Arabidopsis thaliana: one gene and its partner. The protein of the gene in region 2 purifies or fractionates together with the protein of the main gene of each other region. This does not show direct contact. Each region holds a gene or a part of one and is shown on either strand. Other genes may lie near its edges.

Region 1 (7,828 bases), on a different chromosome or scaffold from region 2:
GAATTGTGATGTTGTGTCATATTTGTATAGTGATTGATAAATATTAATATATAATCGTCGTGTCATAAGTAACCTGAATCCATAGATTTGATAGTGTGACTGTGCTTGCGTGTGGAAGTTATACTTATACATGAAAATATGTATAAATTAAAATCACATATTTTTATTAATTTAGAGATTTGAGGTAGAACGAAAAGATTAATTTATTTTTGCATTTTATGGATCGATATTAAAAGTTTTGAATGGTAAGTCAGATTTTTGGTAGTCCAAAATGTGTGACAGATAAACTGTTTTTAATTTTTAATAAGCAAAAAAATAAAAATCAGGCGGCTAACTGCATACAATTTTTGTTTTATTGCTTTTTTAGTAATAAAAGTAGATTAACTGCGTACAGTTCTTTCTCATACGTTAATGTGAGTGGTCCAACGGCAGTCCATAATTTTGTAATAAATAAAAAAAACAAAAGGTAAAATAAAATATTAACCTTTTATTCTATAAAAGCACAATTCTTTTTTTGTATTTTGTACCATCACACACACTACAAAAAATGTAAATATCTCTCTCATTTTTTTTTAACGTTGCTTTTTAAGCTTATTATCCAATATTCTGATATTGCCTTAAAGAGCAGGATTGAAAAATATATGATAAGTTTTCGTCGTTTTATAATTTGTTTATATTTAATAGTATACAACTGGTATTGTAATTCATTGACGTTAATTTTGCTTAAGTTTTTGAACTTTTTAGAATCTATAACAATATGGTCATGTTTATGTTTTTGCTTAAGTTTTAAAGAAAAAAAGTAAAAAATAAAAAGGAATCTATAAGATTTGCTTGTAACCACAAACTCAGCAGTAATATGTACATACACCAATCAAACGATTTAATATGATCATATTACGTCAGTGTATATGTCAGTAATTTGACTCTAAGAAACCTTAATTAAAAATTTGTAAACAAGACAATATGCCAAAATAAAATATACGTCTACCTTCTCATTAATTTCCTTGTTTCTTCTTCATTGAACTCTTGAACAAATATTATATGGAGATGTCACTTGTCACTTCGAGTTGCTAGGAAACTTCCACCGGTGAATTCCTCCTCTATACAGATTAATTAGTTCATATCCCCTTGTCTCTCAGCTCTCTATCTCCACACTTTTTCTCTTTAACATATCCTTTACTAAATGGCCGTCACTGATTATTTCGCCGGTGAGATAGCGACGGAGCTTTTGAAGCAGCTCTTTCTGATATCTGCGAGAGCAGGCCGGTACAAAAACACAGCCGACAACCTCAGCACCTTGATCGAGAACATTCAACCGACGATCAAAGAGATCCAGTACAGTGGAGTTGAGCTGCCTGCTCACCGCCAGGCTCAAATCCGTATACTCTTTGAGTCTCTAGAGAAGGGCAAGAAACTCATGGACAAATTCTTAACATGCAATCGTTGGAATATGATTCGACAGTTATATCTCATGAAGAAAATGGAGAAGCTAGAGAAGACCCTCTCTGATTTCTTTAGGGCTTCCATTTTGACACACATCCTTGCCGATCTTCATCTTCTCCGGGCCAATTCTGATGAACGTTCCCATGAGGTCTATCTATCTTTGTTTTCTTCTCTCTCCCTTGTGATTTCTTGTTCACCAAGTTTGAAGGCCATCTCTATAATACTCGTTTCTTTTGCAGCACGTCACATCAACCAAAGGGTGTGACTACGACGGACTTGGCTCAATTCAGTACCAGCACATCCAGCCTAACCTAGACATGGATATGCGGGTCACCATTTTGGAGGCTGAATTCCGCACCTTCTCCAACAACGTCATCAACAACATGCTTGCGATGAAGCGAGCGCAAGATGTCTTACTACGAGCCAACGGCTTTGACCCCGAGACCCTCCTACCGATGATGTCTCCTCCTGCAGCCTCCATGAATCCTCCTGCTTGACCACATACGACTTAGGATACTTGCAACCCACTCAACCTTGCGGACTACGATCTTTAAAACACAAATTGCTTTCGATTTATGTTTTTCAATTTGTTAAATTATGTTTCAGTCACAATTTTAAATATAATTTATCGTCCACTACTCTGTTTTAGCTTCTTCTTTTTCCATACGTTACAATTGACCTTACTTTTTTACGTATTAAAGAGAGAATTGGTTTATACACCTCAAATCAGCAGGTTCTACATGATGAATGAAGCCCTTTTAATATCAAAACAACCCTTTTAGTAGCTGAAGGAATCAGATTGTATCTCTAACAAAAAGGCTACCAACAAAATGATGTTATCCAAGTTGGGTTCCAAAATATGGGGTCTCTCAAGAGCTATGTCTTTCAGGTTGTCTATCTGCTCTCTCACACACCTCTTTCTGCATCCGGGAACTGAAGAACGAAGCGCACAAGTCGGGGAAAGGCGGGAAATTGAGTGTTGATCCACAAAACATTGTTTCCCAAGGTTTCTCTGACATCAATGCTTTCTTCCTAGATCTCTTCTTCTTTTTGCTTATTGCTGCAAGAAAAACTTCATAATCTATGGCGCTAGTCTCGAGTTTTTCATCGCTATAAGGATCAAATAGAACATATTCATGGCTCCTGTTTACATACGCGAGAAGCGGCTGAGACTTTTTACCATCTTCCACAAATGAAAGTGTTCCTCCTCTGGCCTGCAATAAACATTGTAATCAAGTCTCTTAACGGCAATGAGAGAACTTTGATTAATCCTTCCTTAGAGTATATACCTTCATTACAGTCCAAATAGCTACTGGTTTAGGGCCTGACCCATCAAACAAGAGGATAGCACCATCTTTCCCGCGGAATATCTGTTCGTTAGATTTTACCAACCTATCAGATTCTGGAAGCCATGTTAAAACTGCAAAGTATGGTGAGTCCACTTCAGTAGCAATGGCTGCAAATAAACAGGAAAAATGAAATATACTTAGACAACCAAAAAAATCAAGATTTCATGATCAAAAAGATAAATAATAAACCTTCTATGTATAATCTATATGACCATGATAAGCAGAACGTCATCAGATCCCAGACAGATAAGTGCGGTGTGGAACCATGGGATGCAGCAATAAGGAAGCCTCCTCCAGTGAATGAGAGTTCCATAATTGGCTGAAACATTTACATATCATTTAAGATTTCAACAATGACTGTAACTAATGAACATGGAATTGCTTTTGTGTGTTATACAAGTCTTACCGCATTTGCCTTTCCAACTACATACAGGAGTTCGTTCTTTAACGGGTGCCAGATCGTAATAACTGTTTTAGCCGCAAGAGCCAGACAAGAACCATCCCCGGAAAAAACAGCAGCTGTTATTGGCGTTCTCCTGAAAAATATTACATCAATTTCATTTGACATCACAACGACTAAGTAATGAGAGATGTTAAAAGGTTCCTAATCTTTTACTTATAAGAGCCAACTCCATGACAAATCCAGTTTGAGTCCTCAGGTGTCAGATTCTTGTCGCTACTGCAAACCCAAATCTTGACAGACATAAAGTCATATCAGTAACACAAAAGGTCAAACGATATTCCAAGGAAATGATCCATTTTTCACTACTCTGTAATCCTACCTTGAAGTCCCCAGCAGAAGATATACTAACAGCCATGGAACGGGCGGGGTTAAGGGCAATGGCTGTAATTGCAGCTTCCCTGTGAGAATACAGAAGGATCAAAAGTTACACTCACGATGAGAATCAAGGAGTTTAAAAGTTTATAAGAACATTGAAGTAAAAACCTGTGAGGTTGATTTATGACTGTCGATAAGCTGAAAGTTTTGCTGTCCGGTACAAATACCCAAAACTTGAGAGAAACTATGCCTTCACTGAAATTGCTTGCAGCAAATCTGGCCTCAGCTGTAGTCATTACTGAGCCATTCCGAGAGAGAGCAACCGCAGTCACGAGAACCTATTTTCCATAATTCTTCAAATTATTACAAAACAGAAAGAGAGCGGATCTTTTACTAGTAACAACTATGTCATCTTACAGAGAAGAAACAAAATGTACTAACCCGGACTTGATCATCATCGTCTGGATGATGATCGCAAATTTGAACCTGCATATGTTAGGTTTGTTAAATAGTAAAATCATACAACTATCAGATACAAAACTCAATAAGCCTTTTGGGAAGCTAACCTCTGAAATGTCATGGTCACTTAAAAGGTTGTAGAGTTGAACACGATGATTCGCTGTGCAGAAAGCAGCTATACCGGAAGAACGATCAATGGATACAGTTCTGGTGAGGCATATATCCCGCGTTTTGACGTAGCATATAAACCCGTGACGCTCTGGTGTCGGAGGCTATTACATAGTAAAGAACACAATATGCATGTGAAGTTAACTCCAACAGAAACGGTATACAATATGAGCATGCTTAAACCAACAATAACAAGGAAAAATTTCGGATGATAGTAAGAACGAACCTTGATTCCAGATATCGTTCTCAATATCTCCATGGAAGGCATTTTAAGAAGATGAATTTGATTATCTGCACAAATCACCTGAAAATTCTTGATCTTAGTAGAGTTAATGAAACACTTCATTTGCTTTCTACGGTTGTTGTAAACGGAAAAACTCTTACAGAAGAAAGAGTTGAATCTGAAGAGAAGATGAAATACAACAAGGGAGATCCAATCTTTGGCAAAAGTTGCTTCTTCCCTGTACCTAGCTCCCAAACAACAAAATCACCTGCCTTTACCCCTAAAAGAGTCACAAGCAAAGGAAATATAGCATAAGAACTCAATATATATATATATAAGAAACATGAATTCCTTATCAACACACAGAGATACAGTCACTATGATGAAAAAATAACTCAGACTCACCAGAATACAAAAGTGCTCCATCTGAAGAGAAATTAAGGACGGTTACTTCAGCGCTGTGCCAGTTGAAAGTAGTGCAAGATTCAGTATCATCTTCAGTTTTCACTGAAGTAAATTCTCCAATACCATTATCCTTCCAAATTAACACTCTTCCTGTTACATCACCGGCTGCTAATATTCTCTGATTGGGATGGAAAGCAAAAACAGTAATCAACTCTGTATGATGTAATGTCGTCTCCTTTGGCATGAGGTGCTCTGATGCCACATTCCATATATGTATACTGCAGTTATGACAGACGCCGAAAAACTCTCCAGAGGGACTTAAAACAATAGGTTTTGGTTCTTCCATCTGCACATTAACAAAAATGATTATAGAATCAAACATGAGGCTAATCGAAAAATGGTTAATCCACAAATCTGACCTCTTTCAAAGTGTCTCCACTATGAAGAGGGTCTTGAGTGAGATCATATCTCCGGATTTGTCCAAACAAATCTTTGGACACACTTGAATAGTCCTCAACCGAAACATAAGCAATCACGGAATGTGACACTTGAGCTGGAATCATCACCTACAAAGTCCCAACAGACACTTAGAAAAGGGCAATTGAAAGTTATCAAATTTTTGTTTATAAGCTGCAAAGTATGGAACTTTAACAGACCAGAGAGTGAATTGGAAGGTGGGTATCAAATATCTTCAAAAGCTTCGGCGCAGAGAACTCCCAAATCCGAATTTTCCCATCGAGCGACGAAGTCCAACAGTAACTGACGGTTTCGTCGGAAGACGGATCAACAATCACAGACGTCACAGGCGCTGTATGATCCTCGAGTGAAGTAATCTTAAAAACACACACACGCATACGCTAATGAGAGAAGAAGATTAGAGGGAAACCCTAAAAGGAAGGATGCTCGAGTCGAGAGATAAAACCTTTAAGCCAGTGGCGACGCTGTAAACAGAGACGGTGTTGGCTGTGCATAAAAGAAGCTTCTTTGCGTCTTTCGAAAACGCCGGAGCGGAAGTAATGTTGTTTCTTCCGCCGCGAATCATTTTCCTTCAACTCACGGAGATTCTGAGAAGACGCAAACATCTTACTCGGCGATTAAAAATTAGATTTTGCGACGTTTTTCCGACGAAATATTACAATGTACCCAGTTTTCGAGGAAATTATGTCTGTGACCAAATTGCGACTAGTACTTAGTACTATATGCTTGTACTTGTAGTTTCACTTTCTTCGTAACACCTGGCTCTGTGATGACTCCTCTCATTCTCTTCCTCCATGTTTGGGTTTCGCTTCTTGGACTAGGCCTTGACCTTGTTGGGCCTCGGCCTGTTTGTTTATTTTTTCTGTTTTATCTTTAATAAAATGAGACGGCAAGAAAATAACTTACATAATTTTTCAAGATCTTAAGTATTTTGTATTTTCTTAATTTATGTGAAAAACCCTGTGGATAAACAAAATATAATGTATAGTCCAATAATTGGAAATTTTGTAGTTAACAAACTCACTTCGTTTTAACAAAATATGGATGGATGATTCAGAGGCATAGTATGCGACATTAACTGTATTACAATGGTCGACAATGACTTTGATTTTTGAGGTCGTCCAATAAATACTAAAATGTATGGGTATGATTTTAGGTTGACCAATAAACTTCGATATCCATCGTTAATTCCATGAATGTTTTAAAAAACTGAAGTTGCTTCTATTATATATAAGTTAATCTATTTTATAATTTTATTTTATGACAGTTTAGCTATAATTTCTTTTCAAAAACATTTATGTTCTTAATTTATCAATCTATCACTTTCCTCGTCAACATATTACTTTTTTTATAAATCTTTTGCATATGACTAGCTTATCGGAAAATCGTTCATATAGATAGCGACATAACTAAAATAAAATTAGAAAGATGATATTGTTTTGATATAGTGTTTGTTTGTCTTGTTTCAAAAGACTATGCAATCAACTAGTTGTGCGTCTTGTGGATCTAACAGTTTTAAAAATGTTTAGGGTCAATAGTTTAATCAGACTTGGAACGGTAGTTTATACCTTTAGATACAATATTATCTAAGGTTAATTTATGTCATGGAAAAGTTATATATAGACAAAATGTTCAAAAAATTTAGGATTTATTGTGAAAAAACGAGAAATGGTAGATGATTCATATACATATCAACTTATTCCAAAGTAAAAAGTTTAAGAAATAAGAAAAATAAAAATTGTAGCGTAACAAACATTGACATATGGCTCGTTGGAAACAAACTAAATGTAATAATTATAGTTGTTCATCAAACTATTCGCATACAACCATCATGAACGATGACTAAAAATGGGAGACAAAGTGGGACTTTTGTAAATCCTACGTTTAATGAATTAGAATGTTGAATTATTTTTTCAGATTTTTATACATATGAATTGTTGCTTTCAGTGTTCTCTTAACCAATGAAAGTAAAGATGCTCAAAGGCTAAATATAAAGAAGATAAATTTCATTTCTCTTGATTATTCTCTTTAGGGTTTAAGATTACATCATGTTTCCTTTCATAGGCATTATAATCTTAGTGACACTAGGGTTTTCACTGACACATGTCAGGTCTCTATTGATCCTAGACAGTCAAAACAGTTTTGTAAAACCACTCCTTCTTTTCCAGCACAGCTCCTTGTTTTTGTCCTTTGATCCAATCTTGATGTACTTTTGGTTTTGTCTTCTTTTGCAGGAGATGACCGTTGGAGCTGAGAGTTGTTTAGGGTCTGCGCTTGGGCCTGTTGTTTATTGGGCTTGAGGTTTGCTGCATTCTCAATTTGGCCCAATCTCAGAACCTTCTTGATAATGTCATCTGAAGAATTTACCTTTACAGATTCCTCTGCTTCGTGTCCGATCACAGCTCTGATCTGGTTCTTCTCTTCACCAATCCGAGTTGTTGTCTCAACACAAGATGCATTCTCTCTAATAGCCCCCCGCAAACTCGGCGTAGGTGGAACATCGACGCCTAGTTTGTAACGAAGATC
Region 2 (6,754 bases):
CACTTACAACTGCGATCACCATACCTTCAATTTCCTTGTCGAAGATGGCTACGGTTTGTCACTCTCTCTATCTTCTTCTCTGGAAACGAACAATGTTTTTAGTTTGAAGCCATTAAGGTTTTGATGGATCTAGCTCAGGGTTAGCTGATATGCATCATCTGAAACTTAAGGCATTTTCAGGATCTTCATAGATTGGATTCGCATTACTTGGCGATACAACAGTGTTTTGTGTATTAGTTCCATTGAGATTTGAGCTTAGATTGATTTAACTTTTTTACTGATTTTGTTTGGTTTCCACTTTGTAAATACCAATTAAGCACATATATCTAATCAAAAAAGAATTTTTTCCATCAACAAATTAAGTAAAGTGTTATCTAATCATGAATCTTGATATGTTTTTGTGGAGTTTGTTCTCTTGGGAGATTCAATTAGTAACTAAACAGTCTCAAAATTCTTTCAGTGTTTGGTAGTTTAGTTTTTATGATGAATACATTACGCGTCTTATTATTGGTGATACCTTTACGTGATGCGGATTGGAGATGTTTGTGTCTTTCTTTCTGTATGTAGTTGTATTTGTTATGGTTTGGAGATGAAACTACACACATGTGTTTCAAAATAATTTGTTATGGTTTGGATTGCATTTCACTTATATATGGTGGCTCTTTGAAATTTCTTATTCAGCATATTGTGTTGTGGCGAAAGATTCTCTTAGCAAGCAAATCTCGATCGCATTTCTGGAGCGTGTGAAAGCTGATTTCAAGAAGAGATATGGAGGTGGAAAAGCAAGTACAGCTATCGCCAAAAGTCTCAACAAGGAGTTCGGGTACTTAGAAAACATTTCAATATTTGAGGAAAATGTTCTATAATATATTGAATACAAGGTAATGGTAAAATTAAAATATTGCAGGCCGGTGATGAAGGAACACATGAATTATATTGTTGACCATGCAGAGGAGATTGAAAAACTAATAAAAGTCAAGGCTCAGGTTTCAGAAGTTAAAAGTATAATGTTGGAGAATATTGACAAGGTAATGCTCATCATTTGACTCTCTTATGTCTTTCTCCACACTTAAGACAAGCAACAAATCATTCTCCTTTGCTTTACCTTTTACAATGATAAGTCTGCAAAAATCACTGTGCTTTATACACCTCCAATATTGTTGATCCATTTTCAGGCAATCGACAGAGGGGAAAATCTAACAGTTCTTACTGACAAGACCGAGAATCTACGCTCTCAGGTAAAGGCAAACTTGACTCCAAACATTAAATTCATAGACTTTCTGTGATAGCCATTTTAATGTAAGGGTTAATTTGTATACTTTAAGGCGCGGGAATACAAGAAAACCAAGGGACACAGGTGAGGAGGAAATTGTGGTACCAGAACATGAAGATAAAACTGGTGGTTCTTGGGATCTTGCTACTACTTGTTCTCATAATCTGGATATCGGTTTGTCATGGATTTAATTGCACGGATTGAAGACACAACAAATTACTCTACGTGATGGTTAGAGACTTAGAGCTTTTGGCGGAGACAGGCGACAAACAGAGACAAAAGTCTTCAGTAGAGAGATTAGTAAAGAGAGAGAGAGGGGAACAAAATGGTACCATATGTATTGTAAGGTTTTGACTTTGGATGTTGTATTATTATATAAAGTATTTGTGTTCTTTCTTTGGGTGTACCATACTAATTCACATATTCTACGTAGCGTAATTAAAGGCGAGGATATCTTAAAACTTGCATAAAACACATGCTCAAGAGTCACTAGTCAAGGTACTCAAAACTAAAATCAGAATATGATCAAATTTGGATTAAAAAAACAAAAACAAAGCGCCCACCGTGGGGCTCGAACCCACGACCACAAGGTTAAGAGCCTTGCGCTCTACCAACTGAGCTAGACGGGCTTTGTGACTAATGATACCAGAAAAACTATATAACAGTAAATATTATTTCTAAACATTTTGCAACACAGCTTTGCATCCCAATTCCCAAGTGAGGAACAAACGTACAAAGGCCAAGACTTTGGGTTGAAGTTGAACTTTACAAGATTACGTTTGAAAAGATGATGAATATCAATCCCCTACTCTTAATGTGGGAAATTTTCAGTGTACAACATATTTATTCAAAGAACACCCTCAATATCTTTCCCAAAAAGTTATGCAATCTGTTTCAGAAAGATTTCAGAACTTAATTGGTTTAAACATCTCTTCTCCAGATTATTTGGCAGCAGTACACAACCTATATGCCCAGTAATAAGTTTTGAAGTTTTAAATCAAAGCAAGCAATCTGTTTCCATACAGAAAACTGATTCATCAGCTTACAATTGTAGCTTCTCGATACTCTTGTTTGAGAACAATTGAGACTTTCATAGATACAATACCATGTTCCACAAAATTTGTGACAGTCACATACCCTTAATACTCAAAGGCCAAAGTTTGAAGCTTGAAAACAATTTGAAGCTTTTGGACTATAAAACCAAAGAAAAATCAGCATAATCAATCTGTCTCAAAAATCAGCATAATCAATCTGTCTCAAAAATCAGCATAATCAATCTGTCTCCAACACATATCTGAATCATTAGGGTTACAGATTTGAAAATTAGCATATGTATGTAAATTTCCAAAGTTTCAAGCTTGATGAAGAATTTGAAGCTTTTAAGTATAAAAATCAAAGCAATATCAGGAAACTCAACCTGTCTCCAATACAAATCTTGATCATCAGGTTACAGATTTGAAAATTCGCATATGAATGTAAATTTTTTAGCTTTTACATACTCAAGAGTCTCACAAAACACCTCAAAAACAGATTTATAAAAATCGAGACTTTCATAGATCCAGAACCAAGTTCCACGAAACTTGTAACAGCTACATACTTTAAAACTCAAAGCAACAAGCAGAATCAAACTAAGACACAACAAAGACAAAACCTTTAAACTTTCAAAGGTCATCTTCACCCCTCAAATACTCTCCAATATCAGCCTGATGAAGCACAACAATACCATTAGGATCCAATTTCCTACAATCCTGTGTACTCTTCGCAGCAATCCCAAACCCTAACGGAACATCAGACATCGAGAACACAACAACACCATCTCCAGGAACAATACTATCAGTAATCCTCCCTAATCCACCTTTCAAGACATGGTTCCCATAAAGAAACGACATCTCCGAAGTGGGTTTAAGCCATACCTTGTGTTTAGCATTCGCCGCCAAGATATTGAGTGACATAATCGTCAGATGGAAACTACCGGCGTGAGTGTATTTCCCGATGCAGGTTCCGAAGGAGACTAGGTTTTTCCTGGAGATGTTTGTGGCTCGCTTCACGAGGGCTTCGCTGACGTAGTAGACTCTGTTTTTCTGGAGGCGGAAGCAGTAGCTGCCGGGTGTAGATTCGGGTCCTTCGTCTGATGGGTTCTCGACGATCTTCTTGAGGTTGTTGCCGACGAATTTGAAGAGCTTCTCGAAGACGACGGTTGTCTCGGTCTCGTCTAAAGGACGCATCTTCGGGGAAGAAAGTGATGAATAATGGAGAAAGAAGAGAAGCTCTCTGTTTCTAAGAGGGATTGTGTTTTTTTAGGGTTTTAGGGATTTAGGACCAAACCTAATGCGGCCGATGAGTTTTGTTATTTCGACTTTGGTCCTTTGTTTTAAAAATATCTATTGTCATTTCAACCTCGAAATTATTATTTTTGTTAAATCCAACCCATGAATAATTCACTTTGAATATTTGGACTTTGGAGGATAACTGAAAGTTATAACAAATTTGATAGTTCATGTAGTTTATTGAAAAGATGTTTAGTTAGAGATTTTTTCATGTGTAAAAATATTATAAGGAAATCATACAATGAATTACTAATATTATAAGGGCAATTGACAAAACAAAAATATATTATTTTAGAAAAAGGTATATATATTTCTAATATAAATAAATACAATTAATTACAAATATTGTATAACGTGTAAGAAAATAATTGTTTTAAATATATATATATACTTCTAAGATTAAGTAAATTATACATTTAATCACTAATACAGTAAAAATATTAAATAAATTATTAAAATTAGTAATTCTAACACAAGAAGGCTTAAATTTTTCTTTTCTTTTTTTTCTCTCTTCAGAATTGGTTTCATATAACGATCTGTGTGATACACAGTTTAATTGATATATGAATCGACAAATACCAATAAAAATCGCTGTGAATGAATATGTATAGATAACGAAAAATACGCGGGTCAAGGTACAACCACGACATGCCATATTGCCATGTGGCTTCAACCCCCACATATAAGTCCACGACATTGCAGGACATAACGATCATAAAATTTGGAGGAAATACAAATATAGAAGAATGGAAGAATTGGACATAGTAATCGTGGGAGGAGGCATTGCTGGTCTTGCAACTTCCCTTGCTCTTCACAGGTTCACTATAATCTCCTCATTTTCTCAATTATAAGGTAATTTAAATTAGAAAACATATACATGAACTATTGACTAACTAAACATACAAATATGATTATAAAGGAAGGGCATAAAGAGCGTTGTGTTGGAGAGATCAGAGTCTGTAAGATCGGAAGGAGCAGCATTTTGGTATTCAGACTAACGGCTGGCTTGCTCTTCAACAACTTGGTGTCGCCGATAAGCTAGCTTCGTCTTAAGTCTCTCCCAATTCATCAGTAAGTATATAAATATTTATATTTTAACTAACCTTATCTAGTTATAATGATTTCCGGTATGGTACTAAAACAGGATAAGAGATGTTTTGATCGAGAAAGGTATTAAACGAAGAGAATCGGTTGGACCAGCATCCTATGGAGAAGTAAGAGGTGTACTAAGGAACGACTTGGTTCGAGCTTTGGCTCATGCTCTTCCTCTTGGCACTCTCCGGCTTGGTTGCCATATTTTGTCGGTTAAGCTCGACGAAACAAAATCGTTTCCGATTGTGCACGTTAAAAACGGGAGAAGCTATCAAAGCAAAGGCACGTTTTAACAACAGTAGATATATTTATTGATCAATTATTGAGGTGATGCCGTAGTGGAATTTTTTTAGTATATACTTTATATTAGCCGACAGTGACATTTATGGGTCGTGATCGGTTTTAATGGTTTGTGTTTTGTTTGTTTTTCACTGAAAGCAACATGTTTAGCATGAAATGCATGGGTCTTATATATTTTGATAATATACTTTTCTTTTAATTTAGGTTTTGATTGGCTGCGATGGGTCAAATTCTGTAGTCTCTAGATTTCTAGGATTAAACCCGACTAAAGACCTCGGTTCGCGGGCCATCAGAGGGTTCACAAATTACCCGGACGACCATGGATTCCGACAAGAGTTTATAAGAATCAAGATGGACAACGTCGTAAGCGGACGACTTCCTATAACTCACAAACTCGTCTTTTGGTTTGTTGTTTTGCGAAATTGTCCCCAAGGTAATTAATAACCCGGTCATGCTACATTTCATACTATACATAGACTTCTATTGTTTTCATATAACGCACTAACGTATTTATAATTTGTTTTATAAATAGACTCAAACTTCTTAAAAAATCAAGAGGATATCGCAAGATTGGCACTAGCATCAGTCCGCGAATTCTCAGAAGAGTGGAAAGAGATGGTGAAGAATTGTGATATGGACTCTTTGTATATCAACCGTTTAAGGTACCGTGCTCCTTGGGATGTTCTGTCTGGAAAATTCCGACGTGGCACCGTGACAGTTGGCCGGAGACAGTATGCACCTAATGGGCCCATTCTTAGGACAAGGATGTTCGGCTGCGCTTGAGGACGGTGTTGTTTTGGCTAGATGCTTGTGGAGGAAGTTAAATTTAGGTCAAGACGGTATAATTAATGTATCTTCCTTCTCTTCAAGGATGCAAATAGAAGAAGCAATTGATGAGTACATTAGGGAAAGAAGAGGTAGACTCGTGGGGCTTTCGACACAAACTTATCTTACCGGTAGTTTAATAGCAGCTTCTTCGCCGGTTAGGAAGCTATTGCTTGTAGTTATGTTGATGATTCTGTTTCGTGATCAAATTGGTCATACTCGATATGATTGTGGCAGTCTATAAATTTATCTTATGTACGAACTGTCTAAATTGCGAGAGTTGTGTGCTTCGTGAGATGATTGTATCATGAGGTTGGTTACTCATTGTTCTTGCGAATGTTTCCTGTTTGTTCGCTTCTGATAATTTTTGTTCGATTATTAAAAGAACTATGATATTAGTCTTTCTCACTTGTGAGTTGTGAAAGACAAAAGAAGTCCAATCAAAAACTTATTTAAGAAAATTATGGGCGGTATCATCTGCAAAAAAATATTCTCAAAAACATTTTAATCCAATTAATAATTCTGGATTCAAGTTTTTTGGACCAAAAATAATCAATAATTATTCAAATACATTTTTCGTATATTTTGATGAAGGAAGAGAAGTCCATATCATTTGTGTTACAAAAACCCCACCCTAGTTGATAAAAGACTTAAAGTCTGCATTATAACATAAACAGAACCAAGAAAATGTAGAGAGAAATGTCAAATTATCCAGTAGCCCACTCAAAATGTAGAAGCTGAATCAATGGAGGTGATAGAAAACTTATCTAGAGAAAACCAGAATTGCAAAGGCTCAATTCGAAGATGTTTTTTTTGATGATCCCATCTTTATTCTTATATATATCAAAAGTTTAATAGTATAGAAGATCGATTTTTTTTTTGTCAGTTTAGATTTTTGATATACTAGGAAAAGCCAAAAAGATAAGTATTGAGTCAC

Evidence for each region.
Region 1: the proteins of AT4G15770 (region 2) and AT3G26480 fractionate together in Arabidopsis thaliana (co-fractionation; one large-scale study listed by BioGRID). This does not show direct contact.

Annotation. Positions count from the first base shown.
Region 1 is NC_003074.8:9,684,961-9,692,788, forward strand, and holds AT3G26480 (Transducin family protein / WD-40 repeat family protein), read right to left. Parts: upstream 6,007-7,828; 5' UTR 5,868-6,006; coding exon 5,748-5,867; intron 5,659-5,747; coding exon 5,482-5,658; intron 5,392-5,481; coding exon 5,245-5,391; intron 5,172-5,244; coding exon 4,826-5,171; intron 4,701-4,825; coding exon 4,582-4,700; intron 4,502-4,581; coding exon 4,424-4,501; intron 4,302-4,423; coding exon 4,137-4,301; intron 4,057-4,136; coding exon 4,012-4,056; intron 3,909-4,011; coding exon 3,739-3,908; intron 3,654-3,738; coding exon 3,575-3,653; intron 3,486-3,574; coding exon 3,409-3,485; intron 3,329-3,408; coding exon 3,199-3,328; intron 3,112-3,198; coding exon 2,982-3,111; intron 2,900-2,981; coding exon 2,733-2,899; coding exon of another isoform or gene 2,709-2,732; intron 2,683-2,708; exon of another isoform or gene 2,658-2,682; coding exon 2,313-2,657; downstream 1-2,312. Other genes in the region: AT3G26470 (Powdery mildew resistance protein, RPW8 domain-containing protein), read left to right, coding at 1,184-1,591, 1,683-1,940.
Region 2 is NC_003075.7:8,974,804-8,981,557, reverse strand, and holds AT4G15770 (RNA binding protein), read right to left. Parts: upstream 3,664-6,754; 5' UTR 3,499-3,663; coding exon 2,935-3,498; 3' UTR 2,614-2,934; downstream 1-2,613. Other genes in the region: AT4G15765 (FAD/NAD(P)-binding oxidoreductase family protein), read left to right, coding at 4,347-4,417, 4,520-4,585, 4,745-4,943, 5,197-5,425, 5,525-5,775.